Alligator mississippiensis: one gene and its partners. The protein of the gene in region 3 binds, or shares a complex with, the protein of the main gene of each other region. Links are inferred from orthologs where the notes say so. Each region holds a gene or a part of one and is shown on either strand. Other genes may lie near its edges.

The links.
Region 1: the proteins of RBL1 (region 3) and PPP2R2A are in contact, whole or in part, in a cryo-EM structure (PDB 9C6B), measured with the Homo sapiens proteins. The link is inferred for Alligator mississippiensis from reciprocal best matches to the Homo sapiens genes RBL1 and PPP2R2A. Residues at the interface, in NP_002886.2 of Homo sapiens: Ser615, Pro616, Leu617, Met618, His619, Pro620, Arg621, Val622, Val625, Arg626, Ser629, Leu632; in NP_002708.1 of Homo sapiens: Lys88, Tyr178, His179, Asp197, Leu198, Met222, Glu223, Glu224, Leu225, Thr226, Glu227, Val228, Ser247, Arg278, Ser279, Phe280, Phe281, Ser282, Glu283, Ile284, Ser287, Tyr337, Phe343.
Region 2: the proteins of RBL1 (region 3) and ARID4A are in contact, whole or in part, in a crystal structure (PDB 7SMC), measured with the Homo sapiens proteins. The link is inferred for Alligator mississippiensis from reciprocal best matches to the Homo sapiens genes RBL1 and ARID4A. Residues at the interface, in NP_002886.2 of Homo sapiens: Tyr849, Ile850, Lys853, Val854, Thr860, Phe861, Gln862, Met865, Lys866, Arg869, Tyr879, Arg880, Asp929, Leu930, Ile931, Tyr934, Asn935, Val939, Ala946, Leu947; in NP_002883.3 of Homo sapiens: Leu957, Val958, Cys959, His960, Glu961, Val962, Asp963, Leu964, Asp965, Asp966, Leu967.
Region 4: the proteins of RBL1 (region 3) and E2F5 are in contact, whole or in part, in a crystal structure (PDB 5TUV), measured with the Homo sapiens proteins. The link is inferred for Alligator mississippiensis from reciprocal best matches to the Homo sapiens genes RBL1 and E2F5. Residues at the interface, in NP_002886.2 of Homo sapiens: Ser1000, Ala1001, Leu1002, Leu1003, Tyr1004, Lys1005, Phe1006, Asn1007, Ile1017, Met1020, Ile1021, Gly1024, Glu1025; in NP_001942.2 of Homo sapiens: Met162, Ile190, Ala192, Pro193, Ser194, Gly195, Thr196, Gln197, Leu198, Glu199, Val200, Pro201, Ile202, Pro203, Glu204, Met205, Tyr213, Leu217.

The regions. Positions count from the first base shown.
Region 1 is NC_081830.1:23,496,122-23,503,707, reverse strand, and holds the start of PPP2R2A (serine/threonine-protein phosphatase 2A 55 kDa regulatory subunit B alpha isoform), read right to left. Parts: upstream 3,008-7,586; 5' UTR 2,993-3,007; coding exon 2,956-2,992; intron 2,195-2,955; coding exon 2,120-2,194; intron 1-2,119. Other genes in the region: EBF2 (transcription factor COE2), read left to right, coding at 4,927-5,036. UniProt on the Homo sapiens protein: Substrate-recognition subunit of protein phosphatase 2A (PP2A) that plays a key role in cell cycle by controlling mitosis entry and exit. Involved in chromosome clustering during late mitosis by mediating dephosphorylation of MKI67.
Region 2 is NC_081825.1:295,274,609-295,282,241, reverse strand, and holds the start of ARID4A (AT-rich interactive domain-containing protein 4A), read right to left. Parts: upstream 3,014-7,633; 5' UTR 2,940-3,013; intron 2,606-2,939; exon of another isoform or gene 2,448-2,605; 5' UTR 2,375-2,447; coding exon 2,369-2,374; intron 453-2,368; coding exon 342-452; intron 1-341.
Region 3 is NC_081832.1:35,405,160-35,412,802, forward strand, and holds the start of RBL1 (retinoblastoma-like protein 1), read right to left. Parts: upstream 3,006-7,643; 5' UTR 2,965-3,005; coding exon 2,806-2,964; intron 1-2,805. UniProt on the Homo sapiens protein: Key regulator of entry into cell division. Directly involved in heterochromatin formation by maintaining overall chromatin structure and, in particular, that of constitutive heterochromatin by stabilizing histone methylation.
Region 4 is NC_081826.1:50,204,656-50,211,834, forward strand, and holds the start of E2F5 (transcription factor E2F5), read right to left. Parts: upstream 3,007-7,179; 5' UTR 2,903-3,006; coding exon 2,747-2,902; intron 1-2,746.

The DNA of each region.
Region 1 (7,586 bases), on a different chromosome or scaffold from region 3:
CGCAAGTCCACTTAAGGAGTTCTGGTGAGCTGTCCTGGGGCAGAGTGAGAATCAACACCTCCCACTCCTACCCCCTGCAAACAGCTCACCAAAACTCCCTCCCTGGCTCTGCCCCACACTTGGCCCGGTGGATGGGATGGAGCCATGGGCAGGTAGGGGACAGAGGGAGAGGTGAGCGGGGCCAGAACTGTGATCAGGATCGAGGGGCCAGTGCCCCAAACCAAGCCATAATCCACTCTTTGCACACCCCTACAACAGGTGCCGGCTCTGCAGGAAGGGGCGTGAGGGAAGCATATTGCGACTATGCCCCAGGCCCCACACTCTCACTGCCCAGCAATCCCAGGGTCTCCATGGAAACCAGCCTGGGACCCGCAGACAGGGTGCATTCAGGCAAACAGATGGGACCACAGGTGGGCAAGGGAGCAGCAGCATCTGGGAGTGGAACAGGCCAGCGGGGCCAGGGCTGAGATCACGGTGCTGTGAAAGTGCAGGGCCAGGGGAAGCGCCTCAATATACTCGCCCCACACCCTTGCCTGCACAACTGGCACCCACTGCAGGGGTGTACAGGCAATGGATTGGGGATCTGCCCTGGGGCCCCAGCCCCACACTGTCACCACCCCAAGATTCCAGCCCTGCGTCCAGCCCCACTCCCAGATTGTTAACATCTGGGAGTCTGCCTGCCCTGCTCCCAGATGCCCTTCCTCACCCACCCATGGCCTCATCCCATCTACCTAGCAAAGCACGCCCTGCCCATGGGGGTCCTGGATACCCCACACATCTGCTCTGTCTGGCAACCCCAGCAGTGGGTGTGGGGCAGACAGGTCACGGTGCCCTGGCAGCAGGGTTGAGTTTGGTAGCAGAGACTGGCTGTGGCAGCTGGAAGGAGGTGCTGCTGCAGGGACTGCTGGGAAGCGAACCCAGCTGCTACGCTGCCGCAATCATGCTGCACGCCCAGAGGCACGAGGACCGGCTGCACATGCCATAGCCTGGACTGCCCCGAGCCTGGGACAACAGGGCTGAGGGATCCACCATAGGCCGGATAAAATCCCTTGGCAGACTGGACCCAGCCCATGGTCCATATTTTACCCAGCCTGGAGTACTTCAAACCACAACTCAAAAAAAGCTGAAGTAATAGAAAGAATGTTAATTACTTCTTTCCTAGAAGCAATGAAAATCTAACACTTGTCTGCAAGTTAGAAAGTGCAAAGCCTATACAATGCTGACCCAAATTACATACAGTGAAGACAACTCCCTGCAAGACAAAATTCTTCTAGTTCCTGATCTTGCAAGCTGGTCTGTGCAAAACAGATGCTTGGGTATCCAGCCCTACAGAGCAGCATGCAGGATCTAGGCCTCCATTCAGCCTAGCCATCTGAATGGTGAGAAAGGGCTTAGGCAAAGCAAGTAACATTTGAAAACTACAAGTGGAATTTTTCCCCAGAACTGAAACCAGGCTCATTGCTAAAGTGACATCCATGTCTGGCCATACAAGAACACCTGACTACAAAAATTTAAGGCTGTTTTTAATAACTTTAGTCCTAAAAACAAAACCTCTCAACAATGAATGTTTAATTGCTAAAAGGTTAAGATAGTCTTGATGGTTATGTATGACAGAAAGATCAGAACAAAGTTAGGTGACTTATCTAGCACCGTCTGTCTTTAGAAGTGCTACACAAACATTAATCAATCTTCAAACACCTGTGCCAGGAATATGAACAAGCATCACTATCTATATTTGATGGATGTAAAAAAACCCCCACAAACAAATAAATAGCAGTGTCACAACTGAGAATAGTGGCCATTTGACAGCAAGTTGTGTAAAGCAACACACGGACGAAATGTGACTGAAAAAAAGTCCAGTCAGTTATAGACACCATATCTGAGCTTGGACCCAAGCTGGACCCACCATACCCCAGATGCAAGTCTTGGAGTCTAAATATACATAAACTCAGATATGCATTTAATTTTTCACTGCTTTTACCTACTTTGTTATAGTTATATAAAAATAAAGTTCAATTTTCACAAAGACACTTCAGCAGAGAAGATTATTTAAAAATGTTTGCCACTGCCAGAACTGATAATGACAGGTAACTTAAAGAAATAAAAGTTCTTTTCTTACCTTCTGCTACATCATCATCTACAGCCCCTTTCACCTGAGAAAAACACCACTGAATATCATTTCCTCCTCCAGCTCCTGGAAGCAAAAAAAAGCAGCAGAGACCCCAGTTAAAACTGTTTGCAAATTTTATTTGCTCCAGTTGAGGCAGCATGCATCTAGGGCTGGCAAGCAACAATTCAGAGCCTGTTGTACACACCCACCACCAAGACTTCCCAAGCCAAAGCAGAGCTGCCAAAATCTTGATTACAAAGTGCTTCCCCCAAAATGATACCGCTTGTCACTCGCAATTTGTATTCAAAGCACAATCTGGCTAAAGTAGTGCTAAGAATGATCGAAGCTTTTCACTACAATTAGATAAGTCATAAAACTACCAAAATAATTACAATTAAATGTTAAACTATGCTATGTTTAAAAAGAGAACGCATGAACAATGCTATGTGAAAACAAAAGAACAGCAGCTTATTTCGCATCAAAGCATTTTTCCACTTCAGAACTTCAGTAAAACCTAAAAAACAGATCTCTACTTACAAGTGATTTACATTTAAAAATAAATACTAGGTCCAGGAATGATTTTCAGAACATTACAAACATTTAAAACCTTTGCACATCTCAAAGAAAACTGACTTTCATTTTGGCTGCCTTAAAATGTTACAACAACTAAATACTTAAAGACTAGAGAAATTTTACAACAACTCTGCAATTCCCCAACAGAAGTACCAGGAGTAAATATAAGGCCTAGGGAAGAAAGAGAAAAAGAGAGAGAGAGACAGAGAGAGAGAGGAAAAAGAGAGACATCAAATCCCTGAAATCTACCTAAAGTTAACAAATGTAACTACCATAGAAAATGGATCGAAGAGAAAGCTTCAGAAACATTACTGCTTCAGCGGAAGGCAGTGATTCATTTGAACCTTGCCACCAAAACATGCAGGAATCCACCACCCATTTCTTTTACATTTCATGCTGAGCAAATCACTGGGCTGGTACATACAGGAAGAGACTGAAATGAGCTTGCTCTTTCTAAGAGAGACTTCCCTCCCAGCCATGATAACCCAGGACTAAGCAACATATGCAGTTTGCAAAGTGCTTGCTAAACCACTTCTGGGGACAAGGGGCATGCAGGAAGGAACAAGTTAAATTAAGTTTAAGAATGAAGAAGCAAGCTGCTTTCTCCGTGAAACATCATCAACAGCCAGCCTCAGCACTAGGGAGGGGAATCCAGCATTTGAAATGGATCAGACAAGAGTCTGAACTTGGTGGTTCTTTAAGCACCAAGAGATTAGTGAATTAGACTGAGCTGCAGCAATAGGAAGCATCACGAAGATGTTCACCTATGAAAAATACTTGCTTGGAGTACACCCTACCACACCATCTCTCCCACCTCCCCAAAACCTGAATCCTCAATTTCTCACTTGTACCCAGCCTCTGATATTTGTTATTTAGCACTTCACATCATGGAAGCATTCTGAGGATGACATTTTGCAGGAAAAGCCACCACACCTTAACTATCAAGCTGAATTTCATTTTCCAAACAACTTGCTGCCTTCAAGACCCTGTTTCCATTGATTAAAAAGACAAGGATGGGTGGAGAGAGGGGAGCTGTAGTGTAGGGGAGAAGGCAAGATGCAAACCTAAACAGAGCCTCCCCAAATGCAAAGAATAAAAAATGCAATTTATTTGCAGAGAAGGAGGAAGAGAGCACCGAAAAAAAATAATTCAAAGGGGAAAAGTAAAAAAACAAAACAAAATCGTGTCCTACCAACCACACTTCTGTACATGAAGTAAAGCCATTTGCAAAATGGGGAAGAAAATGAGAAAGAAGAAAAAGAGAACCCCACCCCCACCCCAAGAGCAGGTATTTTTTATTTGAGAGTCTGATTTGACTCTTATCTGCAGATGTCTTATAGGTGAGCTCTACAATAGGATGCCAATGCACTCAAACACCATTTTCTGTCAGCCCTGTCTACACCGCCAGCACCAGCCTGCGCTCCAGGGAGGCGGCGGGGGGTGGGGGGGGAGAGATCTGCCGGCCCAAAGCAGAAAGTCGAACAGGGAATAAAGGAGAGACCCACCCTACCCGGAACCCCCTTCCACACTCAACTTCAGGGCCACAGGACTTCCCCCGCCTCACCCCACCGCTGCCCTTTTGCAACGCAAATCTTTTGGCAGGGAGGGGAAGCGGCGGGGGAGGAAGGAAGGAAATCAGGAGCGGGAGAAACGGACTCTGCACACTGCGCTCCAGGATGCAGGGAAATGCAGGAAAAAAAGAGGAGGAAGGGAAAGAGGGAGCAGACATGTGCAGCCCCAGGAAGGCTCCCTGCACGCGCCCCGGCCCCGTGGCCTCAGCTGCGCCCCCTTCGCTCCGCTCCCCGCCCTCGCCGGGCTGCAGCGCCCGGTACCCGGGAAGGACGGGGCTCCCTTCCCCTTACCTGCCATGTTGGCCTCCCAATGGTGGCCGGGTCTGATAGTGGCACGTCTCCGCTCTTAGAAGCGCCCCCGTTTGCCGGGCGGGGGGGTGCCGCGGAGGAGGATGGCGGCAGATTGTACCGGGGGGGGGGGGGGTGAAACCGACTCGGCTCCTCGAGCTTCGCCCGCTCTTGGCTCCCTCCCTGCCCCCCCCTCTAAGAGTCTACTTTCAAAATGGCGCCGGCGGAGCTGCGGGTGACGTCACCCGGAGCGAGGAGGGAGGGGCGAGAACGCCGAGGGGGCGGGGCGCTGATTCGGTCTTGCCCGCCCCCCCCCCCCAACGGTCGCCCCCAACCGTCCCCCAACCGTCCCGTGAGGCGACCCCCGCCCCCACGGCCGCCTCCATGTCGCCTCGCCGCGCCGGCCGAGCCCCCGCGGAGCCCCGGCGGGGCCCGCCCAGGACTCGCCTCCCCGCTGCTCGGCTCGGAGCCTCGTCAGTTGCAGCCCCGCGGAGGTGGGTGCGAACTGAGCGCGGGGGGCGCGGGCAGGCGGGCCCGGCCTCGCGAGCCCTCCCGCGCGGCGGCTGGGAGACGTGAGCACCGCACAGCCCCGGGCCCCGGCCCGGAGCCACCCCGACACACGTCTCGGCACCTCCCCCCGAGGCGGCGGCTGGGCTGCCCTCCCTCCCCCACCCCGCCACGGCGCCGGGGAGGGGGAGCAGCCCGGCACCGTCCTGCCAAGGGCCCCGTGCAAGACTGCGACTGAATCAGATACCCGACAAAGGCTCCCTCCGACCTGGGTCCAGAGCCGCTAGGCAGCAGGGATGCACCCCGGCCAGAGAAACCAGTTGCATTGGCATCCTCAGCCAGCCTCCTCCAAAATTGAGGGAGCTTCTTTGTAAGCTTCCTTTTGTCTCGTTTTTAATCTACATGTCACATCTCAGGCCAGATGGGCTCCAAATTGCCCGCTAAACAGAGCTCAAGTCTGGTGGCAGCAAGTGTCCTACCTTTCTGCTCTTCAGCCCAAGGCTTCAGATGCTCCCGAATCCGCGGGAAGCATGCAAGCCCCGAGCCTGGAGGCCTTGGGGCTCAGGTGCTCCCAGTCCCGCTTCCCCATAGCCAAAATGCTGAAGGAATAAGCTAGCAGCAGTTCCTGAACTCGGACAGGTTGCACACCGTGAGTTTTAAACAATACAGCCTGAAGTACCACCAGCAAATTTTCCAGTTCAACCACCAGAAAATTTTGGTCACGTCGAGTAATTATAATACATCTGTCAATGTGCACCACTGGTGGTACCCGTGCCACAGACTGGGAACCACTGAAAGCCCAAGAGCAATTGCCCAGCACCATAAACGGGGTAGGCAAGAGGCTTTCGTGGACTCTAGCAGGGGTCAGCCTACCTGCAGTGCAAGGGACAGGCCGTTACCCCACACCAAGTCATCCAGAGCGCAGACAGAAGTGACATTTTTTTGCCAGATCTGGCCATAGAAAGCAGTTTATAGCGGTGACCAAACATAAGTACATGGCTGCAGACAGCTTCAAAAATGGCCAATCACGTGAAAATCTGACCCCTCATTGTATGCAGGGTCAGTCAGATCAAGACATTTGGAAACAGAGTCTTTTATAACTTCTGTCTGTACTGCCTGCCAGCCTGTAGCTGTTTTCGGGGCGGGAGGGGGGGGGAAAGGGAGCAGAGGAAATTCAGTCTGGGGGTATTTCAGCCCCTGCTGGAGTGTGGGCAGGTGTATTAGAGCCCTCCGAGGTTGGGGGGCTCCAGTACACCCACCCCACCCTCCAGAAAAGGCTGGGGAACCCCTAGAATGAGCTCCCTCTGCTCCCTTTCCCCTCTCCCATCCTGAAACAAACAGGCTGGGCCACTGCTAGGGGAAACCAGGGGCAGGTTGGCAGCCAGCAGCTAGATTCCCCTCCCCCTGGAGCCAACAGTGAACTTCAGTTTGTTCCAGGACATCAGTTGTAACTCAGAAGGCTTCCTGCAAAGCCTTCTCAGTTACATCTGGGAGCTGCACTTCTGTCTGTACCCACAAGGTGGAGAAAAAGGGTAAGTAAGTAAGTAAGTAAGTACTTACTTTATTTGTAATATACTTGTAATATCCCCGGCCAAGTGAGTAAAACCACATGGGCTGAAACCATCATCATGTTATCTCCCCTGCCACGTGTTATTTGTAGGCATCAGAGCAAATCAGAAGTCCAGAGACAAATTTAGCCAAAGCTTAAGGATATTCATAGGCCAACAGGATCACAGCTTGTTGGATGCCTGGGGAGTTGAGGGACAGCCATAAAAATATAGTTCCACATTTCCCAGAGCTCGGGGGACATTATGATCTGCTCCACCTCTATGTGGTAGGTCTCTACAAAGGGCTGTTCCAGCCTGGACCAGATTTAAAATTTGTAATGAAATCTGGTAAATCCCTATTCTTTCAGAATGACTTGACAACATTCTGCACAGCTCGGAGGAAGACATCTTGCCAACACTTAGTGAGCCTCCTTTGCAAATAGGGCTGAATTAATCCATTAATTTGGGCTTCAGAAATTAATTCAGCCCTTGGCATGGAGTTCCTGTGGATTAAAAAATCCTGCAATTAAAAAAAAAAAAATGCAATTAGAGCTTTATATCGTGGATTAAAGAAACTATTACAACTTGTTGTAACTAGCAAAGTTCCTCTAGAAAAGATATGACTCTTCACTTAAACATTGTGAGATTAAAAAATACGTTTTAGTATTATAAACAACTTGGCTACAGAACATAATGAAGTCATATAAATAATTAACATTAAATCACAGCCTTATTACCTGGTGGAACACCTTTGTGATGTAGTCTTTGCTTGTATGCATTTGGTGATTTGGCAGTCATATGCTAGTGTAAATTATTAGTGCAAAATTACTACAGTTTCACAAAATTTCTTAACTACATGCATATGCTTCACTAATTTAAACAGGGGAATCATATGTTCACTACCTATGAAATTAGAACTATTATTAGTAATTATAAATATTACATTTATGCAACAAGTTCCAAGGAGCTTTTCACAGCACAGAGCTTTGT
Region 2 (7,633 bases), on a different chromosome or scaffold from region 3:
AGTCATAATCTTGTTTGTGACATCAAAACTGATTGCTGTGGAACAGCTGTCGTCACAAACATAAGATTATAAATTCAAATGAGAAATAAGTAGCAAGAACAGATAAAATTATTTTAGAGACTATTGTACTCTAGCATCCTTCAAAAGAAAAGAACACATATGCACTAAACTAATTGCACCAATGGTTTTTGGGAGACAGAAAAAAAACTTTATAAGAAATGTCCACAGATCTGTTTAGTCATACATAAATTTTAAGAGGCATGATTTTCCTTGGTGTTCCTGTGAATATTACCTTTTTGAATAAGAAACAGAAAGATTACCACTAATATAACGAATTCTACCTTGACTTTCACTAGCCTTTTCACCGTCTTTATCTTTGCCTCACAAAAGGCACCACGGTACTTGGCACTGACATCAGTCCCGACTGTTAAGTAGGCAGGCTCATCTGCTGCCTATCAAAAAAAGAAAACATGAAAACAGTTAGTCTCTCATATTCATATTTTGTTAAAAAAAGAAATTCATTAGCAACAAGCATCATACATTCAAATACGCACCCAAAGTTTCAGTCCTGTTGACCATTTCTTCACAAAATCCTAAACAGCAATTTATGTAGCTACTGTAAGTCTGACCTTTCTTTAAAAGGATGTATGCTAAAAAGTTAGCAATTTGTTGACACATCTGCTAACAATGTCCCTTGATTTTGTTCCATAAAAACAGTGGAGCAGGATCAGACTAAGTGTTTTTTCCAGGCAGACCCAATTTTAGCCAAGATATTTTGAAATGTTTTAATCAGATTTAAAGTTTCACTGTCTCAGTATAATTTCTAAACAAGATGCACCAAAAAAAGATTAACAAATTGATCTTGCTACAACAGACACAAAAGGTGTTTTATAAACCACATACATGCAGAGAACAAAAAAAAAAAAAAGCAATTTCAACAAAATAGACTCTGTAAGAAAAATGTAATAAGGAGGGGGAAAAAAATCAGAACTGCCTATGTCCCTATTCTGTCATTTACATCTAGGCATACAATTTAAAATAGCAACTTAAGAAATTTAACTGAGAAAAAAGAACAAGAATGAATCAAGGATGATGTGTTATAGCACTTTTTGCATCATACCAAAATACTTACAAGTGAATAAATACACGAGCTTTGCCAGGAAATTTCAAAATAACAGAGTGGCTAAGCCACTTACTTAATACCGAGTTCATGGATAAGTTATAGGAAGTTCTGTTCAGCTACTAATGTTAACCCATGGTTTTTTCAATGACTCCTCTCTCAGTAATCCCAAATCAACAGCCTCAAAGTGTAGCATGTGCTTACAATAAGGAGGAAAAATATCTATCTATCTACCCAAAGATCATTTCAACTCATCCTTGCAAAGAATACAGTGGGAAAGTGATATTTCAAGTTGAACAGAGATTGTACAGTTGTCATTTCAGCAGTGATACATTAACAAACATAGTCTATATTTACTTTAAAATATTCATGTGCTGATATCCACTTAAAAAAAGAATCCAATTTGTCATTTCCATGCAGTGAACAGAGTTCTATCCTACTGTCTATCCCAGATTTCCAGAAACAGGGAAAAAAAATACACCAAGTTGCTATAACCTTTCAAACAATTATGTTAAATGCTCTTCTTCTTCCTCAAAAGTCTTTTGTTCAGATCTTTATCCTCTCAAAATGCAGGCAACCTTAGAAACTGTTAAGCTCACACGCCTGTATCTGGGAATGACTTAACATAGTAATCTTTTGCTTGGCTTTTTACCATGACTGAGAAATGAGGTACTGCACTTTAAAGGAAGAAGAAAAAAAAAAAAGAGTCGAAATACAGTAAAACAGGAAATCGGTGTGTGCAAGGAATTAATGTCAGGCTCTAACTCCGTGTTTGTTCACCTCCGCAGCCAAGAAAAGTTCGTCCCACTTTGCAAACGATCCAGCGATTGTTTTGCCTCGGCTCTGCAAAAACCGAAACAGCTCAGGCAGGACAAAAAAAAGTGGCGTGTGGTTTGTGCACACTCACCAAAGCTGCTGCTAATACAGGAAGCATTTAAAGGCAGCAGCCCGAAGGCCGACCATTCAAAGGCATCCTATCTTTCTCGAGCAGCGCAATGGCATCGGCTGCACCTCTGTCAAATGGAAGGCACGGGATTTCACATGAATCAACATGTGCTGATGTCCACGGCCGGGCCGGATGTTATTCTGCTGTCGCTGGAGGAGGACGCAGCGGGACGAGCAATGGCACGAAAGGCGCCGGTGACGGGGAGGAGAGGAGGAAACAGAGGGAGAGCGAACGAGCGAGCGAGCGAACGAACGAGCGAGCTCCGGCGGCGAGGGCGACGCTCCGGGGCTGGCTCCGCTTACCTTCATCTTCCAAGCTCAGGCGCGGGGGTCCAGCTCGACGACTCCTCCTCGCCGCCACCGCCGCCGCACGGGGGAAAAACTAGAAGAGGAGAGAGACGCACGGTCAGAGGAGGCGGCTCGGGAAAGGAAACGTCTCGGCCTTCGCGATCCAGCCACAAGTCCGGGGTTGATCATTAAACACACCCCTCCGCACTGGGCGGGCTCACACTTTGCACACAGCCTCCGCGCACACACACGCACACACACACACACACACTCTCCCAAAACACACAGAAATAAGCACACGCACGCACTCCCAAATACGTGTGCACACTCGCAGCCCCCCTCCCCACACACACGCGCGCGCGCGGGCTCCTCACCCGCCCGGTGTCACGTCGCCATTGCTCCGCTGCCCCGTGTCAGGCGGGAGCCCTCCCCCCCCGGGCCCCGCCGCCCCTCGCAACTTTCCCGGGCGCCGCCGCAGCGCGCGCGGACCGGCCGGGACCCGCCGGCCGGAGCAGGCTGGCGCCGGGGCTCGGGCCGGGGCAGCCGCCGCTCGCCCCCTCCCCCCCGCCCGCCGGCGCAGCCCTACCGGACACGGCCCGGGCGGCGCAGCGGCCGCCTCAGCAACGACGACGACAGCGGCGGCCCCCCCCACCCCGCGCTCCTCCCTCCCCCCGCCCCGACTCGCCAGCCCAATAACAAGCTGTTGAGCGGAATCGGGGCTCCGCCCGCTCTCATTGGCTCGCCGTGACGCCCGGGGGGCTCTGCCCCGCCCGGATTGGGCGCCGCGGACAGCACCCCCATTGGCCGGCGGCGCGGGCAGCGCATTGGCCGGCCGGCGACGCAGGTAAGGCGGCGCGGGCCGGCGATTGGCGGAGCCCCGCGACTCGGCTCCATTGGGCGCCGCCGAAGTGAAGTCAGCGCTCGCCGAGCGCCGGTTGGTCGGAGCTTCTCGGCGGGGATTGGGGGTAGGGGCCGGCGGCAAGGAGCTGGGCCGCGCGGAGCATGCGCAGTGCTCGAGGCCGCCCGGCGCCATTTTGTGAGGGGCTCTTTCCCATTTTAGGCCGCGGGAGACGGGAAGCGGGAGCGGCCGCTGCCTCCATCTCCATCATCATCATCTCCGTTCCCGTGCCCTGCGGCGGGGCGGCCGCTCCCTCTTCGCCCTCCCGCCCGCCGTGAGGGCGCAGCGGTGCTCGGGAGCCGGGCCCGGAAGTGGAGAGAGCCGCCAGCCCAGCCCCCGCCGGGGAGCCGCGGCCCGAGGAGGAGGCGGGGCGAGGAGCCGGGCGGGAACCGGCCTCGCTGCTCCCCGCCGCGCCGGACGAGTGAGGCTGTCGGGGTGTGCCCCCGTGCGCGTGCGTGTGTCCGTGTTATTGAGAAGCGAAACTGCTCTTCTTCCGCCCCCTCTCTCCCTGCCAGGCCGCGAGGCTGAAACCGGAGCCCGCTCTGAGGGAGCCGGTTTGAGGCTCGACCTGCCCCTGCTCGAGCCCCTTCGGGACACCGCAGACACCCCGAGCCATCCAAGGGCCTGGCGGGGCACGCGGCTGTCACCCACGGGGCTCTCGTGTCCGGTGAACGGCGGTCGCACACCTGCGCGCCAGCGTGCGGCACCCGCGAGAGGACCTGGAGGCGCTGGGGGCCCCCGACGCCCCGGCCGAGGACCCCTGCGTCGGCGCCCGGGCGGTACGTCCTGAGCGGCGGTTGCGCGGTGCCGGGCGGTCGGTCTTTGGTAAATTTAGACTCTGGTTTATCTTTGGTACGTTTAGACTCAGCAGGCCTGTTTCCCCTTTAGGGTAAATGGGGCTAATTTCATAACGTGTTTCCAGATGCTCAGTAACTATCGGGACTCGTATTTTTTTCACACTACAGCACGTCCGTCTTACAATAAAGCCTCTTATTACGGTGAATTTTAGGAGGGAACGAAGCTCATCAAAATGTGCTTTGCTCGTAAAGACGTGCAGCATTTTGTACGGTCGTTCTTGGAGTCGCCACATGGTAAATAGGTCAAATAGGGTTTTGTACCTTGTTTTATAGGTTAAAGCGAGCACCTAAACTGAAGACCTGAATTTTAAATACAGCGTTAGCTTTAAACATGGTAAAGATTTAAGCTCGGTTTAAATCTTTACCACGCATTTAATTACTTGAAGTAAGTAATGAACTTGAAATTTGAGATGGGTCGAATGCCTTTGCTAGCACTCCTGTACCTACCTGCTGCTGCTTGTTTGGGCGCTCGCCCCAGCGAGTGGGGATTTGCAGGCATTCACCGATGGGGAGCTCCTTGGGGGATCAGGACTTAAGGTATTGTCTGCTGAACTATGCCAGGATCAGCTGTTTGCAGCTTCCAAGTCTGTTCTGGTTTTAGGGTTTGGTTTTATTAAATTTGAAGTGTCACAAAGAAACAGACAATCCCTTACACTGCTCTGGGGGAAAACTTATTAGTTGGGTCATATCTACTATTACTTTGAAGGTTAATGCGTTAGGAAAGAGGTGACTGGGAGCCTTTAAACCTATATGCTTGAAGGTCAGAGTTGTGTTGGGATCTTTTGAGACTGGTAATTCTTTGGTAACTGGAACAAATAGTTCAAAGAGTTTTCTCTTTTTTTAGTCCTTTAGGGGTTTTTCGTTTTTGTTTTTTCATTTTAATAATTGAGAAATTCAGTAGACTGGCTTCTTTACTCATGAGACCATTAGTTCTCTTTATAAACTGTTCAGATTCTGTAATGGATAGACTGGAGAGATGGTATTACTGCTTACAACACAGGATCGATTTTACTGTCATCATTGTAAGCGTGTCTAAAGCACGTGAGCACATAGCTTGGAGGCTGGCCCTTTGACCCTTGTATCATTTGTTTGGAATGCAGTGCTCAAGGCATGATTTAGATTGTGAGTTTTGGGACAGGAATTAGGCTTTTATATAGTGCTGCATACACCAGCATTCAGTAAAATGTCAGTTTAATCCAAAACTAATACGTCTCATTTGGCATCTGTAGCCCAAGCCAAATGCTGGCCACCTGCTGATGTGTCATTGGCAGCAAAGACCATGTGGAAGGTTTAGGAAGTTCCTGATGTATTAGTCGCATGCTCTAAAACAAAATAGTTTTTGTCTTGTGGATGAGCCGGACCACATTTGATGTATAAATATGAAAAAAGTCCAAAGGGGAGGCTAGCCAGTCAGGTCACCAAAGAGCCTAAACATTCTGCACTGCTCCTCTTTATTATATTGCATATGATCTTTTTTTTTCCCTCTCTTTCAACGAGATGTGAGAGAAGCTATTTGATTTAGTTTAGATTTTTGTTTTTCATGGAAACATGAATTTCAGGATTCAGTATGAAACAAATGTTTTATGTGTTGACATTTGAGAGTTTTTTTCTTTTTGTTCAGTTGAGGGGTTTTTTAGACACATTGCAGTGTAACTACTTTACAGTTGGAGCCCAAATTAGGGTCTACTGCATATCATTATTTTTTCTGCCCTCACTTTAGGAGTATCTTCTGCGGACACAAGTTTTTGTCATTTAGTGGATTATATAATACCTCCAGAAACCTGATTGCCATACAAAACTACTCCTTGGGAGGAGAGGGGGCTTCAGAAGGAGAGAACAGCTCCTGCTGTGATTTATGTCAATAGGAAGACTCTTAATTTTTCTTACATCTTTCTGCCTAATCTTTCAAAGAGACATTGAAGTCAGAATTCTTACACTGTGCGTTAATGTAAGAACTTTATGTAAGAACAAATTTTGGAATTAGTTGAAAGATGAAAAGCTGTCCATGTCCCGTACTTCTCATGGTCCAATTAAACGTAGGTCAGGGGTTGGCAACGTTTTTGGGCAGAGTACCCAAAAACACCCACAACCTCAACTTAAGTTGGGGTGCCAGTGGCATATGGCAGGGGAGCAGCCAGGGGCCCAATCCTTATTGTGGTAGTTAAGCCCTAGCCCCTTCTGTGCTGTCTGCCCCAAGGCATGCGCGCCAAGCAGATGGCCTTTGTGTGACACATTCTGGCACCCATGCTGGGGTTTGTCTATCCCTGATATAGGTATTGAGAAGTTTTAATCAAATATAAGAATATAGATGGTGAAAGACAACCATATCTTTAATTTTAAAAACCCAATACTTTGGAAGCCTTCCACTGACCAGATCTGTCAAAAATGATAGTAAGACAGAAACAGTGAATTGTGAATTTTATTGTATTGCTTACAGGAGCATAAATAGCAACCAAAAACAGATTGCAAAAAGATTTTTTTTCCCCCTCATTTTCTTCCCCTGACTAGATCATCCCAGCCAAGGCTTTGTTTAGCTGGGTCTTAAAAACCTCCGCAGCCTCTTTGGGTAACCTGTTCCAGTGCTTTCCCCTCCTAGTGAGGGAGTTTTTCCTTGTATTTAACCTTCCCTTGCTGCAACTTGAGCCCATTGCTCCTTTTTCTGTCATCTGCCACCACTGAGACCAGTCCAGCTCCGTCCTCTTTGGAACCCCCTGCAGGGTGTTGAAGGCTGCTGTTAACACCCCCCCCCCTTCTTTTTTCCAGACTAAAAAAACCCAGTTCCCTCAGCCTTATCAATCACATGCCCTAGCCCTCTAACCATTTTCATTGCCCTCAGCTGGACTCGCCAGTTTGTCTACATCCTTTCTGTAGTGGGGGGCCCAAAACTGGATGCAGTTTAATTTGTGTACACATGTAAGTCCAAATGGCTTTAGTTGCATTCAGAATACTGAACACTGCTTACCTGCTAGCTTCTCTGTCTGAGCTTGATAGACAGAATCCGGTATATCTTTGCAAGCGTCTAGAAGATGTGTGGGTGACAGGTCCTTGTGATGCTTGTTTTGTTCCTGGTTCTCTATTGGTTTTCCTTTGGTTTTTTTTTTTTCCCCAGGCTTCCTATCCTGTCTGATCAGTGGTGTGGATTGTGCTGGTGGTGAGCATATGTTCCAATAATGCCTCGACTTCACCCTTCCTTGAGGTTCAGGACCTTTGTGCCAGTGGAATTAGCATCTTTCTCCAGAACACGAGCGCCATATAAATGCCACAAAGCTGCTATCATATCATAGGTGATTATGAACTGTGGGGAAAGAATGTATAAGAAAGGAACTAACACCCATTAATAGTTGGGAGCTGTCACCGGGGGGTGGGTGCCAAGTCATGTAAAAGTAACTAGATTATAGACGGAGAAGAGTTGATCTAGTCTCTTGGTCAAAACGGAACACTTTGTCACTGTTGAGAAGTGGCAAATTACTAATTTGACATCTGGCAATGTTGACTGCTTATGAAGAGGTTTTGTTTGTGACCAAT
Region 3 (7,643 bases):
ACAGAATTAGGGGCTGCAGGAAGAAATGCACATGGGCCTGCTATATTTGTACATAGTGTTTGTTACCTTTAAAGTAGATGGTGAAAATGGTAAAAAAATTGCTCTAAAATACCAAATGGACTCCCTTGATCTCTTAGAAAAAGTAAGCTTAGCATTCAGCAGAAGAGTTTTGACATTGCTCTTTGCACCTTTACCATCAAAATAATGTTAGCATTTTCTAAAACAGTTTCTCAACCCAGGGGGGTCACAAGAATATATGAAAGGGTTGTGAACAAACTTTAAAAATGGATCATACTTTGCATACATTTTGAAAAAAATAGATGCTGCTTGTGCTTCACCATATGTTAACACTGTGCATACTAATAAACAGGGATCTGGGTTTTCCATCTGCTGTGGAAAAACATGAGTTTTCTTCTTTAAAGGAAAAAAAAAATGGGAAACTGAAGGTTTCCCCTTATAGGCTGGCAGAGTTCCAGCCTGCAATGGGCTGCTTGGGTCTGGGGGTAAAAAAGAGAAAGGCGGGGACCAGGCAAGGCAGCCATCTATTCAATGAGCTGAAACTCAAAGAAGAATTCTGTAAGTGCACAGAATGACCTTTCAGAACTTGATTAGTGACCAACTAAGGGCTTCTCTACTTATGTAATCATGCCAGAAAACCTGTGTGCACTTTAACTTCAGACACATAGCTTTAAACTCATACAGTGTTATTCAGGAATCAAATACCTCCATGGGTAGTCCAGACCTTATGCATTCACCTGAGACACAAGGGCATCTATGCTCTGATGATTGTGATTAATGATGTGTGATTAATTTTAATGCATAGGAACAGACTCAATTAACTGAGTCTGCTGGAGCACTCTATTGAGAACATCTCACATTTCAAAATGGTGGCAAGGGCGCTTTACCTGAAGTTCATTTGATAAGCTTTAGTTAAAGTGCCCCCCCCCCAGTGCCATTTTGAAATGCAAGGACCTTGAACACATGAGGCACTGCAAGCATTTTAATTATAGTGGCTCTGTAATTAAAATATACCCCACCCCAGAGCATGTGTAAAAATGCCATAAGTGACAGACCATAGATAGGGAACCCCCAGCACGGGTGCCAGACCATGGCATGCATTTTGCTTGGCAAGCAAGCCTCAGGGTGGACAATGGGGAAAGGGCTGGGGCTACACTGCCACAATAAGGGGAACCAAGAGGGGCCCGATCCCGCTGAGCCAACATCTTACAAGTTGAGGCTGTAGGTGTTTTGGCACTTTGCCCAAAAACGTTGCTGACCCATCTCCCCACCCTGTAGGTAGCAAAGCTTTCCTTTCTCACACTGGCCTTCTGACAACCCTATCCTACTCAGCAGTCAGAAGCAAGTCATCTGAGCTTGTGTGTACATTGGTCAGATTATCCAAACACACACTTACACTGGAATGCCATATCAGAATTTCTCTGGCAATACCACTGGTTTTTACAGCAGCATTTTTCAACCCATTGGTCACAAGAATATATGAAAGGGTCACAAAACAAACTTTAAAATTGGATTCTCCTTTAAAGGAGAAAACAAGAAAACATGGGAAGCTGTGGCTTTTCATGGGGAAAACATGGGAAACCATGGCTGCTTGGGGTCCCCCACCCACCCACCCACCCCCTGTCCCACACACTGGGGGCTGGGCCCTGGGAGCAGTCAGTTGGGAGTGAGGGGCACAGGGTCAAGATTGGTCATTTATTTTTACAAATAGGTCCTGGTACAAAGAGGTTGAAAACCACTGCTCTACATAATTTAAAAATTCTAGCTCTTTCTTTTAAAGAGCTCAGACTGATTTTTTTAAAGCAGAGCTAAATTGGCAGATAAATCAATCAGACTCTGCTGTATTATCTAGAGTCTTTCCCACCATAGTACACTCAGTTTCACAGAAGGGAAATTAAAGTCAATACTTAAACAATGGAAGATGTTCCAATACAATGATTATGGCCAAGTAATTGCTTCTGCAGACAGACACCGCATGCGGAAGAGGAGCTGGGTGCTGTATTTTACCCAAGGTACTGCAAACACCTCAAAGGGACACCATACTTCGGGGTTGGGGTTGTTGTTTTTTCAAAGACATTTTTGTGTTCCAAGCCGAATCAAATCCAAATCCATGAGTCAGTCCAGAACCGTAAGTGGCCCTACAACCAGCAAACATCCTCCACCCCCACCAGGAGCTTTAAATGTTTCCAAAGTCTTTTGGCAGCCATCCTACATGTAGGGCCAAGCCCAAAGGCTTGGGGTTGGGATGACCCCCAAGTGTCGCCTGCCCTCAGCCATATGGCTGCAGGAACAAGCTAGGGAGAAGCCTCACTTTTATATAAAATGGGCATTAAGCCCCAACACCTTGGTGGGTACTAAACCACGCCAGAACAGTTATCCCTGAGAAGCTTAAGGAAAACTGCCTTCATGGACCCAGATACATGGCGTTTCCCCTGCCAGGTAAGCACAAGCACACCATGCCTAGGTGCAGAATGAACACAGGAATCTGCCCCAAGACCCGATGTTGCCAGTCTCCTTCAGCTGGCGCCAGCCTCGGACGAGCACAATTATAGCCGAGCGGCTCCGGCCAGCAACGCAAGGAACCACCGCCACCCGCTACGCTACAAGCCCCGTCGCTCAGAGCGCAGGCGGGCAGCGGCTGCCTCCCCGCTGCCCTGCGAGTCATCCTTGAAGCAGCGGTACCCGCACATCAGCCGGAGCCACCGCCCCTCCGCAAGCACTTTCCGGCCCCGCCCAAGCCTGGCACCAGCCGGGGGGCGCGGCCCCGGAGCTCGGGCCGGCTCTCACCTCCAGGCTGTAGGTGCCCTGCAGCGCCGTGAAGTCCCGCAGAGCCGCGGCAGCGCTGGCCGCGTCCAGGTTGAGGTCCTGACAGAGGCGCTCGATGACGACGCGGGCCGCGCCCTGGGCGGCTTCGGGGTCCCCCGCAGGGCCCTGCTCCAGGGACATGCCGGCCGCCCAGCCCCCGCCACCCCAGCCCAACAACCACGATCCCACAAGCCTTCGCGTCCAAAGCGCCAAAATCCTTCCGCCCCGCCCCTCGCTCTCGCGAGAACGTCCTCGGGCGACTCAGCCCGCTGCAGCTGCTGGAGTGGCTTCTGCGAGCCTGGCGCAGCTCTTTCGCGTCCTGCCGCAGCCAGTCGCCCCCTTTGTTGATACGCTGGCTCGGTGGGGTGCCACGACGTGGTGACAGGACAGTGGCTGCGCGGGTTCTTCCTCTTGCTGCGAAATGCTCCAGGTCCCGCTGCGCGGCCAGGCGGGCTGGGGACGCGAGCTGACGGGAGGTCCTGGACCGCCTTCGCCCCGGGCGCAGCGTGAAGCCCGGGGACTTCAGCGTTCACTAACGGAGGTTTAATCCCGGCGTCCACATGTCGTGGGACAGTCAGAAATGCTGATACTGCTCCCTCGCTGTCCGGGTAATGCTTGTGAGGAGCAATTTTCTCCCAGACGTGCCGCAGAGCGGAGGACCTGGTAACCAGCTCTGTTGGTTCACCCTTATAGCCTGGTTGGTCTCAGCTGCTGTGCTGTTTTCTGGCCAGTTCCCACCCCCACTGCTTCTGCTTTACTCGCCTCCGATTGCTGTGACTTCTTATCATGCAGCTGCCTGTAGCTACGCAACCATGTAGTGAGCATAAATTAGATTGCTCTTAACTCCTTGTGGAGAAAGGGCCCCAATCCACTGGCATGACAGGGAGACTGAAAAAAAAAGTCAAGTAATCGGCCATAGTGAAATAGTAAATACTGCATCAAGTTCCCATAGTTGTAGACTTGTAAAGTACTCGGATCCCCTATATAAGTGTCCTTAAGCTAAGGGTTGGGTATAAAGAGCAGAGGCTAAGGACTTGGTCTGAGATGGATGTAGCCTTTCTCTGGAATGGAGAGGAAAAACGCACTTAGTGCTGACCTCTGATGAGAGCAGGAGGTCTGGGGAGGATCAGTTTTGCCTTTTAAGGTGGGTGGGCAAAATACATTCCACAAGTCACTTCCAGCCAGCCACACCATTCTAGCCCATGGGGCCTCCCCAAAAGACAATTATTACCAGCCCATGGTTGCCCCTCTGAAAGCCAGCAGGAGGCTCAGCCTTTCAGAGGTCATGCATCACCAGGCTGGGCTGACCTTGGGGCTCCCAGCACTCAGGGCAGGAGCACCATGTGGCAGCAGGGAGCCAGCCTGGCCCGACAGCTTGTAACTCCCCAGCACTCCAGCAGGGAGCCACGCATGATGGAGCCCAGTGGGCTCCATGCCACCACATGCAGTTCCCGGGTACTCTATCCGGGAGCTGCGCAGCATTGGGCAGGCCGGGCTGGCTCTGTACAAGCACATGGGGATCCCAGCACTGCAGGCAGGAGCCACACACCATCAGGCTGGGCCAGGCTGGCTTTGTCCCTCCATGTGCGGCTCTTTGCTGAAGTGCTGGAAACCCCTACGTGCTGGCCTAGCTTGGTGGCATGCAGCTCCCTGGGCTGGCACTTCAGTGGGGAGCCGCACACCATTGAGCCAGTTCTGTGCCACCATGTGCAGCTCCTGCAACTCAGCTGGAGCCGTGCACTGCTGGGGGGCTCTGCCCGCCACAGGAAACTGCTGCTGCTGGCAGCAGGGGCTATTCACCATGGGGCACTGTGTGACAGGGCCCCCCCCCCCCCCCCATCGTACCTACTTCCAACCGCCCCCCAACTCTCACCCCCAAACAACACCCGCACAATATACAAGAGTAAGACTTTATTTTGTGCTATTATGCAATTGCCTCTATATACACTACACAAACACACAGAAATCAGGACAAAAATATTTTTTGAAATAAAATATGTTCTAGTAGATGTTTGATTTTTAGTACATGATTTGGGAGTTTTTTTGTGGTTCCAAGATGGCAAGCCCCCCTCAAAAAAACAGTACTTCTGGGGCAAGTAGAGGGACTTTCAGTGGCAAAGATCAGGGGTTAGTGGTGGGACGTCTGGCCCCAAGACGGCAACCTGGGAATGTGGCTACCTCAACAGCTCACCAAAAGTCAGTAAGTGGTCCTTCAGCCGAAATAATTGGTCACCCCAGCTCCAAGGGCACATCTACACAAGACATTTACTGCAGTTGCTTAATTAGCTCCATAGTAAATGTCTCAGTGTCTTGATATGCAATGCTATTACAATAGAGTAAACTAATTAATTCTGCCATAGGTTAGTGCTTGTAAATACAAGTAGTGTCCTGTGGCGGAGTTTTTTTTTTTCTCTGCATCAGCATGTGTGTAGATGCTTATATAGCTGGATGGAGCACAAGGGTGCTTCAGTGCAGGGTCTGCCTGCTGGCTAGCCTCACACTGAAGTACCCTCATGCACCAGCCAGCCCCTTTGCAGCACGTTGAGCCAAGTCAGAGTAGCCCCAGGCTTGCAGGCTGACCCCCTACCTCTGGGGCCTCCTGCCAGCTGGGGCTGCTCCAACCTAGCTCAATGTGCTGTGGACCCAGGCACATGTCCAAATGCAGTGCCCAGGGGCAATAAACTCCGGCGCATAATATGCGCCAGAGTTTATTGCTGCACATTTATAGCACATGTAGATGTGACCTAAGGGTAAGAAAAGATCTGGATAGGGATTAATAATGCTGCCCTAATATAGTATGTAATAATAATAAATCATAATTTTTCACATTTCCCTGCAAAATGTGCAAACTTTCTTCTGTTATTTAAGGTCAGATGTACTTGTGAATGCAACTTTCCATTGAACTAGAAGACTAGGACATAGACAGGGTTGATAATCTGATAAATGAGACAATTTTATGCTATTTTAGATTATAGAAGAGTAGGGCTGGAATGGACCTTAGAAAGCCCCCTGTTCAAGGCAGGATTATTCCTGAATAAACTATCCCAGCCAAATGCATCTATAGTTGAAAATACTTATCCACCTCCACAGTGAGAAAATTCTTCCTGATCATCAACCTAAATGTCTTCCACTGTAGTGTGAAGCCATTGCTCCTAGTCCTGTCCCCTACAGCAGCAGAGAAAAGTCTTATTTTCATCCTCTATAATCTCCATTCAGGTATTTGAAAACTTATCAAATCCCCCCTACCAGTCTTGTCTTGTCTATACTGAAGAACCCTAGTTCTTTCGACCTTTCCTCGTAAGTCATGTTTTCCAGACCTCATCATTTTTGTCACTCTCATCTAGACTCTTTCTTATCTGTCCACATCTTCTTGAAGTATGAAGCTGTAAGAGGACCTGTGACAAGGGGCCATCACGAGGCTGGTCACAACACCAGCCTGTGCACCTCTCTAGGGCTATCCACCCACCTGACTCACCTGCCACTCCTTTGTTGGAACTAAAGAGTTGTTTGTACATAGGCAGGAGGCTGCCCATTTATTGCCTGATGCCCAGGGCATAATACATGGCTCCAAGCCATCCCTACACCATGTTTCATGCCTTCAAAAATCACTTCAAACTCTCCTGGACCCTTAGCTGGGCTGCACTCGGCCTCTGACCTACATTTGGCCTTGGATGTACTTTGGCCCGGTCTCTGGCCCAAACTTGGCCTCAGATGTCCTCAGACATGCCTTGGTCATATGCTTCCTTTCTGGGGCCACAACTCCACCCCATCATTGGGGCCTCTACTCCACTCCCTCGCTGGGCTTTTGTGCCTGACATCCCTTAGGCTTCATTCTGGGGTCCTTGCCGCTATGGGCTCCTTGCCCTTCATCTCATTCTGGGCTCCTTGCTTTTATGGGCTCAGGTCCCTTGCTGGACCTTGCCCATGTCTCAGACCCCACCATGCGCCATATGCACTCTGCCTTACTCTGTATAGTTTCATAGTTGGTAGGGTCGGAAGGGACCTGAGCAGATCATTAAGTCCGACCCCCTGCCATGGACAGGAAAAAATGCTGGGGTCAAACGACCCCAGCAAGGTGTCTATCTAGCCTCCTTTTGAAGACCCTCAGGGTAGGAGCCAGCACCACTTCCCTTGGGAGTTGGTTCCAAATCCTAGCCGCCCTGACTGTGAAGTAGTGCCTCCTGATATCGACCCTGAATCTACTCTCCGTCAACTTACGGCCGTTATTCTTTGTTACTCCCGGTAGTGCTCGGGGGAACAGGGACTCTCCCACTGCCTGCTGGTCTCCCTTGGACAGTTTATAGATAGCCACCAGATCCCCTCTCAGCCTTCTCTTGTGGAGGCTGAACAGGTTCAGGTCCCTTAGCCTCTCCTTGTAGGGTTTGCCCTGCTGCCCCCTGATCATGCGAGTGGCCCTCCTCTGGACCCTCTCAATGTTGTCCACATCCCTCCTGAAGTGTGGCACCCAGAATTGGACGCAGTACTCCAACTATGGCCTGACCAATGTCATATAGAGGAGGAGGATCACCTCCTTGGACCTGCTTGAGATGCATCTGTGGATGCATGACAAGGTGCAGTTAGCCTTCCTGACTGCATCCCCACATTGGCGGCCCATGTTCATCTTGGAGTCTATAAATTATTCCAAGATCCTTTTCTGCCTCTGTGCTGATGAGAAGGGAGTTCCCCAGTCTGTAGGTATGCTGCTGGTTCTTTTTCCCTAGGTGCAGTACCCTGCACTTGTCAGTATTGAACCCCATCTTATTCTTATCCGCCCACCCCTGTAACCTGTCCAGATCCAATTGCAGCCTGTCCCTCCCTTC
Region 4 (7,179 bases), on a different chromosome or scaffold from region 3:
TGGGGATAATTCTTCTGCCCTTCCTTATCATCTTCAAGTCAGCTAAGACAGGGGTTAAACAGACACCATGAATGATGCCTTCCCCTAAGCCTAGAGAGACTGAGGAACACTGGGAGGCACAGAACTGATATTAGACAGGGAGACAGTGAAGAATACGCAAGAGTAATGGGCAAGTTGGTGGAACAGGACTTATTTATTGCTGGGAGGGAATGGGAGAGCACCTTCAACTCCAGAGGGTCCAAATCACCTCTTGATACATTTGTGAGAATAGCTAGCTAACCCTAACTCACTCTGTTTCTCTCATTCAAACACATGGGATGGGCAAGGGAATTTAAAAAATAGTATAAGGCTGAACAATAAAAGAATATCATCCCTTTAATAAAATGTCGTGATATAGGGTCCGATAACTTGGGATAAAGCTGTCAAAAATGCTAAAGTGACTTGGGATCCTAAGTCTCATCAGCTTTAAGCAAGATTTACATTCTGAAGTTCCCTAGTCACTTTTGAAAAGTTCTCCTAAGACTTTTCAACAAGTCTCCTCCTTTTTGTAGTATGGACACAAGGAGATCTTTTTTTGCAAACCGGTCACTCTTCAAGATGTGCCAAAGTGGTTTAAAAACTATCTCCGACTTCAAGAGAAAATACCAGTTTACTATAGCTATCCCAGCTCTCCAAATGTTTCATATTTAGTATTGCAAAATAAAATGCCTTCAGTGGAAAAGTTGCTATAGAAGAGTCATTAATTCTTGCATTTTGAGTAAGTCTATCCATGGAATATATTATCTGACTATTCCCATAAGAAGGCTCTTGCCTGGAAAACAAATATTCAGCATGAAACTCATGTTCAGAATGTGTGACATATGAGGTGATTCTTTGGTAACTGTTGAAGTTATATTTCAGTGATGAAAAATTTCATTAATGCAGAGACAGCGGTGAGAAGAGATAAGGCACAAGCCCCTGCAGTGTTACTTCTGCTTCGCTAACACTTGCAATAGCCAATGGGAATGGTCCATAAGCACTGCGTTAGGTGTAGCTGTAGCAAATGGAGAAGAACTAGTTTGAACAGCTTGGCAGAGTTGCGACTGTGATAGGATAAAATAGGCATGCGCCCCTTGGCCTGAGCCTACATGTGTGATCCAAGGGAACAGGTGCATGTGCATGTTGAGAGAGTCAACATTATGTTGCATAGATTGGGTGCTTAGCAGGATACCTTCTTGCTAAGGTATCATCAGCAGTTAGGTAGAAGATTATGTAGTCTATAGATTTAATGACAAGTGAAAGCTCAGTGTCTCCCTGTCTCAGACAGCTCTCTCACTCCATGCAGGGGTGGGGCATACTTAAACAAAGTCCTGCCTTACCTGGAGAGTAGTGGAAGAGCTCAGGCCACTCTAAAGAGGCAGGGCCAGCTAGATTCCTGTACATGCACAGGGGGCAGGAAGAGGGGCTTACACCCCACCCAAAATGGGACCTGTACCCTTCCTCCTTCCTACATATACTTCTTCCCAGAATGGGAGCTTCCCCAAAGGGATGGGGGGCATGTTGAGTGACTGAGGTCATCTGGGGAAAGCTCAGTCTGAACTTTGATTCCCACATTGTGCAAAAACAAAAAAGCTGAGAGTTTTCATGGAAGGCATGGAATATTTTGGGAACTTCCTGCTCACTTAACCCCAAATTTAGAACATTAACTATACCGCATCACCATAAGAGACACCAAATTTCAGGAAAAACTAAGTAAGTATGTGGATTTTTGAGAACTCAGAGAAGATCTCAGATTCTAGCTGGCATCCATAGCTACTGACCTGCAGCAAGGCCAGGATTTGGTCTCTGCACACTCTCCTCCGCAAGTGGCCTCAGTGTCAATCCACTCCAAACACTGAACAATGCTGACAGTTTAAAAGCTCTCCTGGCCAGTGATGCAGCATGCATCTTATTGGGAAATTCACATCAAGGACTTCAAAGAAGTCTTTTAATACTCATATGCGCCAGTTTGGCTGCACAGATCCAACTGAAAACCAAGACAATTCCTCTTCTTCACTGTATTTCAAAACCACTGCGTTTTAGGATGCTCACATATTATAGCCCGAGTAGATGAGACAGGCCCTGTGAACTTGAAAATGACTTAAAAAAAAGAAGTTCCAGTCAGGCAGCCGCATGGTACACAGCACTGCTGAACGCATGGTGGGAACAAACCGAATGGGAAAAAAGTGTTTCTGAAAGTTCACTGCAGCAATCGCAGGTGCTTCTAGAACAAGCTGACTGCACCTTCGGTGAAGGGGGGGGTTGGTGGGATGTTCTCCCGGGGAAATTAAAGAAAGAAATAAAACACCACAGGCCTTTCAATCCTCCACACCCCAGCACTAAAAGGCGACACCGAGTCAGAGTATGGCTCTAAACTGAGGTCTCCCTGCAGGGGGATTCAAGCTACGGAAGATAGCAACCTTTTAAAATGATGTTTTGCAGCGCCGGTGCCTTGCACGCGGAAACAGGCAAGCTGGGTCCCAATACAGGCTACCACCCACGCGGGAGGAGCCCAAAGCAGGGATCGCCCCTGCCCCGTTCACCCCCTTCCTTCCTAGTAGCCGGGCCAGGGGCAGCACCCGCCAGCCCGGCCCCCCGCTCCCTCCCTCCCTCCTTCGTGCCGGCGCCTCGCGGGGGAGCTCCGGGGCTCCTCCAGCACCGCGCCCCCCCACTCGCCCGCCCGGAGCTGCTCGGCGGAGAGCAGCTCCCTGCCCGGCCCGGCCCGCACCGCTTTGAGGTCCAGCACGCCGTCCTTGGCCTCCTGCAGCAGCGCCACGAACTTGGCCGTGAGCAGCCCCAGGCTCTTCTCGTGCCGGCTGCTGCCGCCCCCCGCGCCGCTGCCATTGCCGCTGCCGGTGGCGGGCGCCGGGGCCAGGGCGGCCATGCTGGCCCGCAGCGCAGCGCGGCTCGGCTCCCTCCCGGCGGCGGCACCACGTGTCCCCGGGCCGCCGCGGCCACAACAGCCGAGCGAAACGCGCCCGGCCCGGGGAGGCCTGGCCAGGCCTGGCAGGAAGTGACGCGGCGCCGTTGCCCGGAGACCAACTTTTTGTTGGGGCGCGGGGAAGGGGAGGGGAGGGCGGCGGGCCCTCGTGTGGGCAGAGTGGTCCCCGGGCCCGGCCTGGCCGCGCGCCCGCACAGACGCGGGGGTGCACGCACGTGTGTACGCACGGGGTCGGTAGGGGCGCGCATGTAGCTGCGCGTGCTCGCCCGTACCTCCCACCTGTGCAGTAGACACACGTGAGAGTCCACGAGGCACAGACGCGTGCTGCCTCCTTTCCCCGACGCGGCCGCGCTGTCGGAGCGGGACCCCCGGCCTCCCACCGCTGTTTACACGGCACGAGCCGTGCTGAGCCGTGCCCCACGCGGGGCCGGGCTTCCCTGCCCCAGGCCGGCAGGGGGCAGCAGACGCCCAGGGCAGAGCGCAGCGAGCGGCTCGGGCCCACTCTCCTCCCAGTGCGGAGAGCCCTGCGCTCTCGCCCGCGGTGCCCCACGGTCACGGAGGGGGAGGCTGGCCGGGGCCATCATCTCCACCTGGCCCGGAGCGGTGCGCAGGGACCCGCTTCCCGAGATGAAGTCGAAGGCAGCGGGGACGAGACGGGGCAGCGGCAGGGCGCTGGGACCGACCGGGCTCCGGCACGGGAGCCCGCACTTCAAACAACCACCTTTCTGCCTGTCCTGGAAGTGCGGGGCAGGGGCAGGCTGGAGCTGCAGGCCTGGACTTACTCAGAGAGCACACACTTTTCAGTCCGTTACAGAACACGTCTTCCAGATCCAAAAACATCCAGAGACTTGTACTAAAACACTCGAATATAGATGATAACTGATATCAGATATTAATATTCAAGATTAAAACCTAAGATACTGAAGTAAAAATTAAAATATGAAAATACAAACACAGGTTACAACCTAGTGACAAACCAACTGCTCCATCTCTTCTAAGCCCAAGACTTTAGGAAAAAAAGGTTTGACCCTTTTCAGTTCTGGCTATTTTTACACTTTGGAGATTCTTGCACTCAGCCTCCACCCTCACAACTCATTTGTAAGACTGTGAAATCAAAGAATGGAAATTCTAATTATTAGCAAAACACCAGACACAGTAATAGGTGGTTCAGTTCCATTCCCTGGCTTTACCGGGGAAAGTTCTTTGCTTACTTAGTAACTGGGGAACTAAGTCCATAAAACCACCAGCTAAGCCATCAGCCATTTAACGAAGAATTTGTTGGAAGTGAAAGGAAACATGTTCTGGACGTGGAAGAGTCAGTGCATTTGTGATAAGATTAAACAGCTTTTTCACATTCTTTCCTGTATGCTTGCATAATCAAGCAAAAAAGAAACAGGATGGATATACCACGCATGCACACACAGAGCTTAATCTATTAAAATTCAGTCCTGCCTTTTTTAGGCTTACAGAGACACTTTCCTAGTTTCAGATGATGCAAAATTTCAAAATTTTATTTTTATGTATTTATAAAACCTGAGTCCTATAGAACACTTTCCATTAATTTGGAAAATGGAATAAAAATAGGCACTTTCCTGCTGCTTAAAATACATTTGGCAACACAAGTAATGCTAACATTTGTAAAAACAAAAATATGCTATAAAACAGACTAAATAAAAGGGAAACAATTTTTGCTGTCTAGATGGATATAAAAATAAAAACTTATACACACATCCATAGAATGAAAAAACTGTGACTTATCTTCGAGTCTAATATGACTGGGTTGTTCTGCAAAGGAATCCAGCTCAGCTGGAAAAATGTGAGCTGCAACAGGGCAGCCATAGCACACTGTTATTCTCAAGTTTACCTAGAAAATCTCATACCAGGTGAACATTTTGAACAAAATTATTTTAAAACTAGAGCCCCTATTACAGCTGAACTTAGATTTAATGAATACAGCTGACCCTGGTTGGTATGAAGTGTGGAAAGCCCACTGGGAAAATTAAAGATGTCAGTAACTTGACTAGCCACTTAAGTTTCAGCTGATACCCATGTTCTGCCTCAAACAACAGCTCAGAGAGTTAGGGTTTGTCTAGTTGGGGAAAAAAATTAGCACTTTTGGCATTCTTATTCTATAATAAACATGACTGCACAATTAGTGGTACAATTATAGTAGAATAATCATATTAATATAATTAGATTATGAAATTTCCCCTTGTTACCACCGCATCTGTACGGAAGAGAACACCCAGGATTGCCACCTCACCAATCTTAAAAAGGCTTTCACCCAGCAAGGACACTCCTCCAGAGAGGTAGATCGCACGTTTGAAAGAGCCACCTGGATACCACGTGAAGAACTGCTGCAGTACAGAAGAAGAACACCCACAAATTGCACACCGCTGGTTATGACCTATCACCCATCCCTCGAACCTGTACGGAAAATCCTCAAAAAATTGCAACCCATATTAGAAAAAGACCCTATTCTTAAGAAGATCTTCCCAGAGCCACCCATCCTAGCCTTCAGACAAGCACCAAACCTCGCCAACCTCATCACCAGAAGCAAACTTCCTCAAGCCCAGAACACACCAAAAGGATCCAGACCGTGCCATGACAAGGAATGCAAAACCTGCCCCCACATCTCCACCACCTCCACTATTACTACACCCCACAACAGAGCCATCAGCATCCCAGGATCTTACAGCTGCACCTCCAAGAATGTAGTATACCTCATCCAATGCACCAAATGCCCTGATGGAAGATATGTAGGAGAGACCAGACAACAACTGCGTACCAGAATGAACGCACACCGGAAATCTATCAAAGACAGAAACACCCAATTACCAGTGGGGGCACATTTCTCACAGGAGGGCCACTCTCTCTCCAATCTCTCACTCCTGATCCTCAAGGGAAACTTACACAACACTTCCCAGAGATGAGCCTATGAGCTCCATTTCATCAACCTGCTGGATACTCGAGATCAAGGACTAAACATAGGCAGACAAGGTTCCTTGGGTGAATTTGATATCTTTTATTAGACCAACTAAACATAGACATTGGATTTTTGATACATTACAATCTGCCTGGCAACTGACCCCCAGCCCACCCCAGCCCCTGGCTTGTTTACTTTTCATTCCATCCAGGAAGAGCGCACACCAACTGCTGAAGCTTCCTTAGCCTGATGAAGGGTTTTTGAACCCGAAAGCTTGCTTAATAACTATTCTCCAACCATTTGGGTTGGTCTAATAAAAGATATCAAATTCACCCAAGGAACCTTGTCTGCCTATGTCCTTAGACCAACACGGCTACAACCTAAACCCCTGCAACAAGGTTTATGTAAACTCTTACAGTACACCACAAAATTCACCAGGACCACAACTCACTCAAGGATAAAACAGGGGATAAGAAACATCCTAAGAGAAACTGAATTGGCTAAAGATTTTAAATGGCAAATTTGGTGTGTGTGCAGGCCGTGTATTCTTTTTAATATTTTCAGAATGCTCAAGGTTTAAATGAGAGTTAGTCACTTGTGTGATTTTGGTGCTATACAAAATGTTTTCCACAACAGTACATCCTGAAAGTGTGGAAGAAATCCTACTGAATAGGCAAGGGTGGAGAAGGGAAACACTTTCTTCTTGGTTTAGGCACAAGGCAGGGCAGAGTGATCTCTGCCTGCCTTCAGATTTAAACAGTTTTCTTGTTAGATAAGGAATAATTTAAAAGCAAATAGCTCCACCTTGTGGACTAACTGTATTCAAAACCTTGTCTAAATCTATCCCAATCAGGCGGTTAGTTCAAAATATACTGCCCACAAAATCCTTGCTTCTCATGCATCTCCTGGACCCTCAGTTACAACATCACACCAACACTACTAAAGTAGTTGCATATGTTGTTAATACATACAGTAATTGAACCTTTCATATTCTAGCAAAGAAAAACCATTCTATAGCACAGTGACTGGTGTTGTAAACAGTGAAAAAAACTACCACCCTAGATGAAACCCTGTTTCTGAATTCTTTTACATAGTACTTTCTAGCTCTAGATTAGTTTTAATTTATTTCTTTGATAGAAACATAGAAAAAATAGGCGTGGAAAAGACCTCCAGAGGTCATCTAGTCCTGCTCTAGGCAGGATCATCTCCATCTCAACCATTCTTGTCTAACCCGCTCTTTAAAGATCCAGGATGGAAATTCTATAGCCTCATTAAGTAATCTAATCCAATGCTT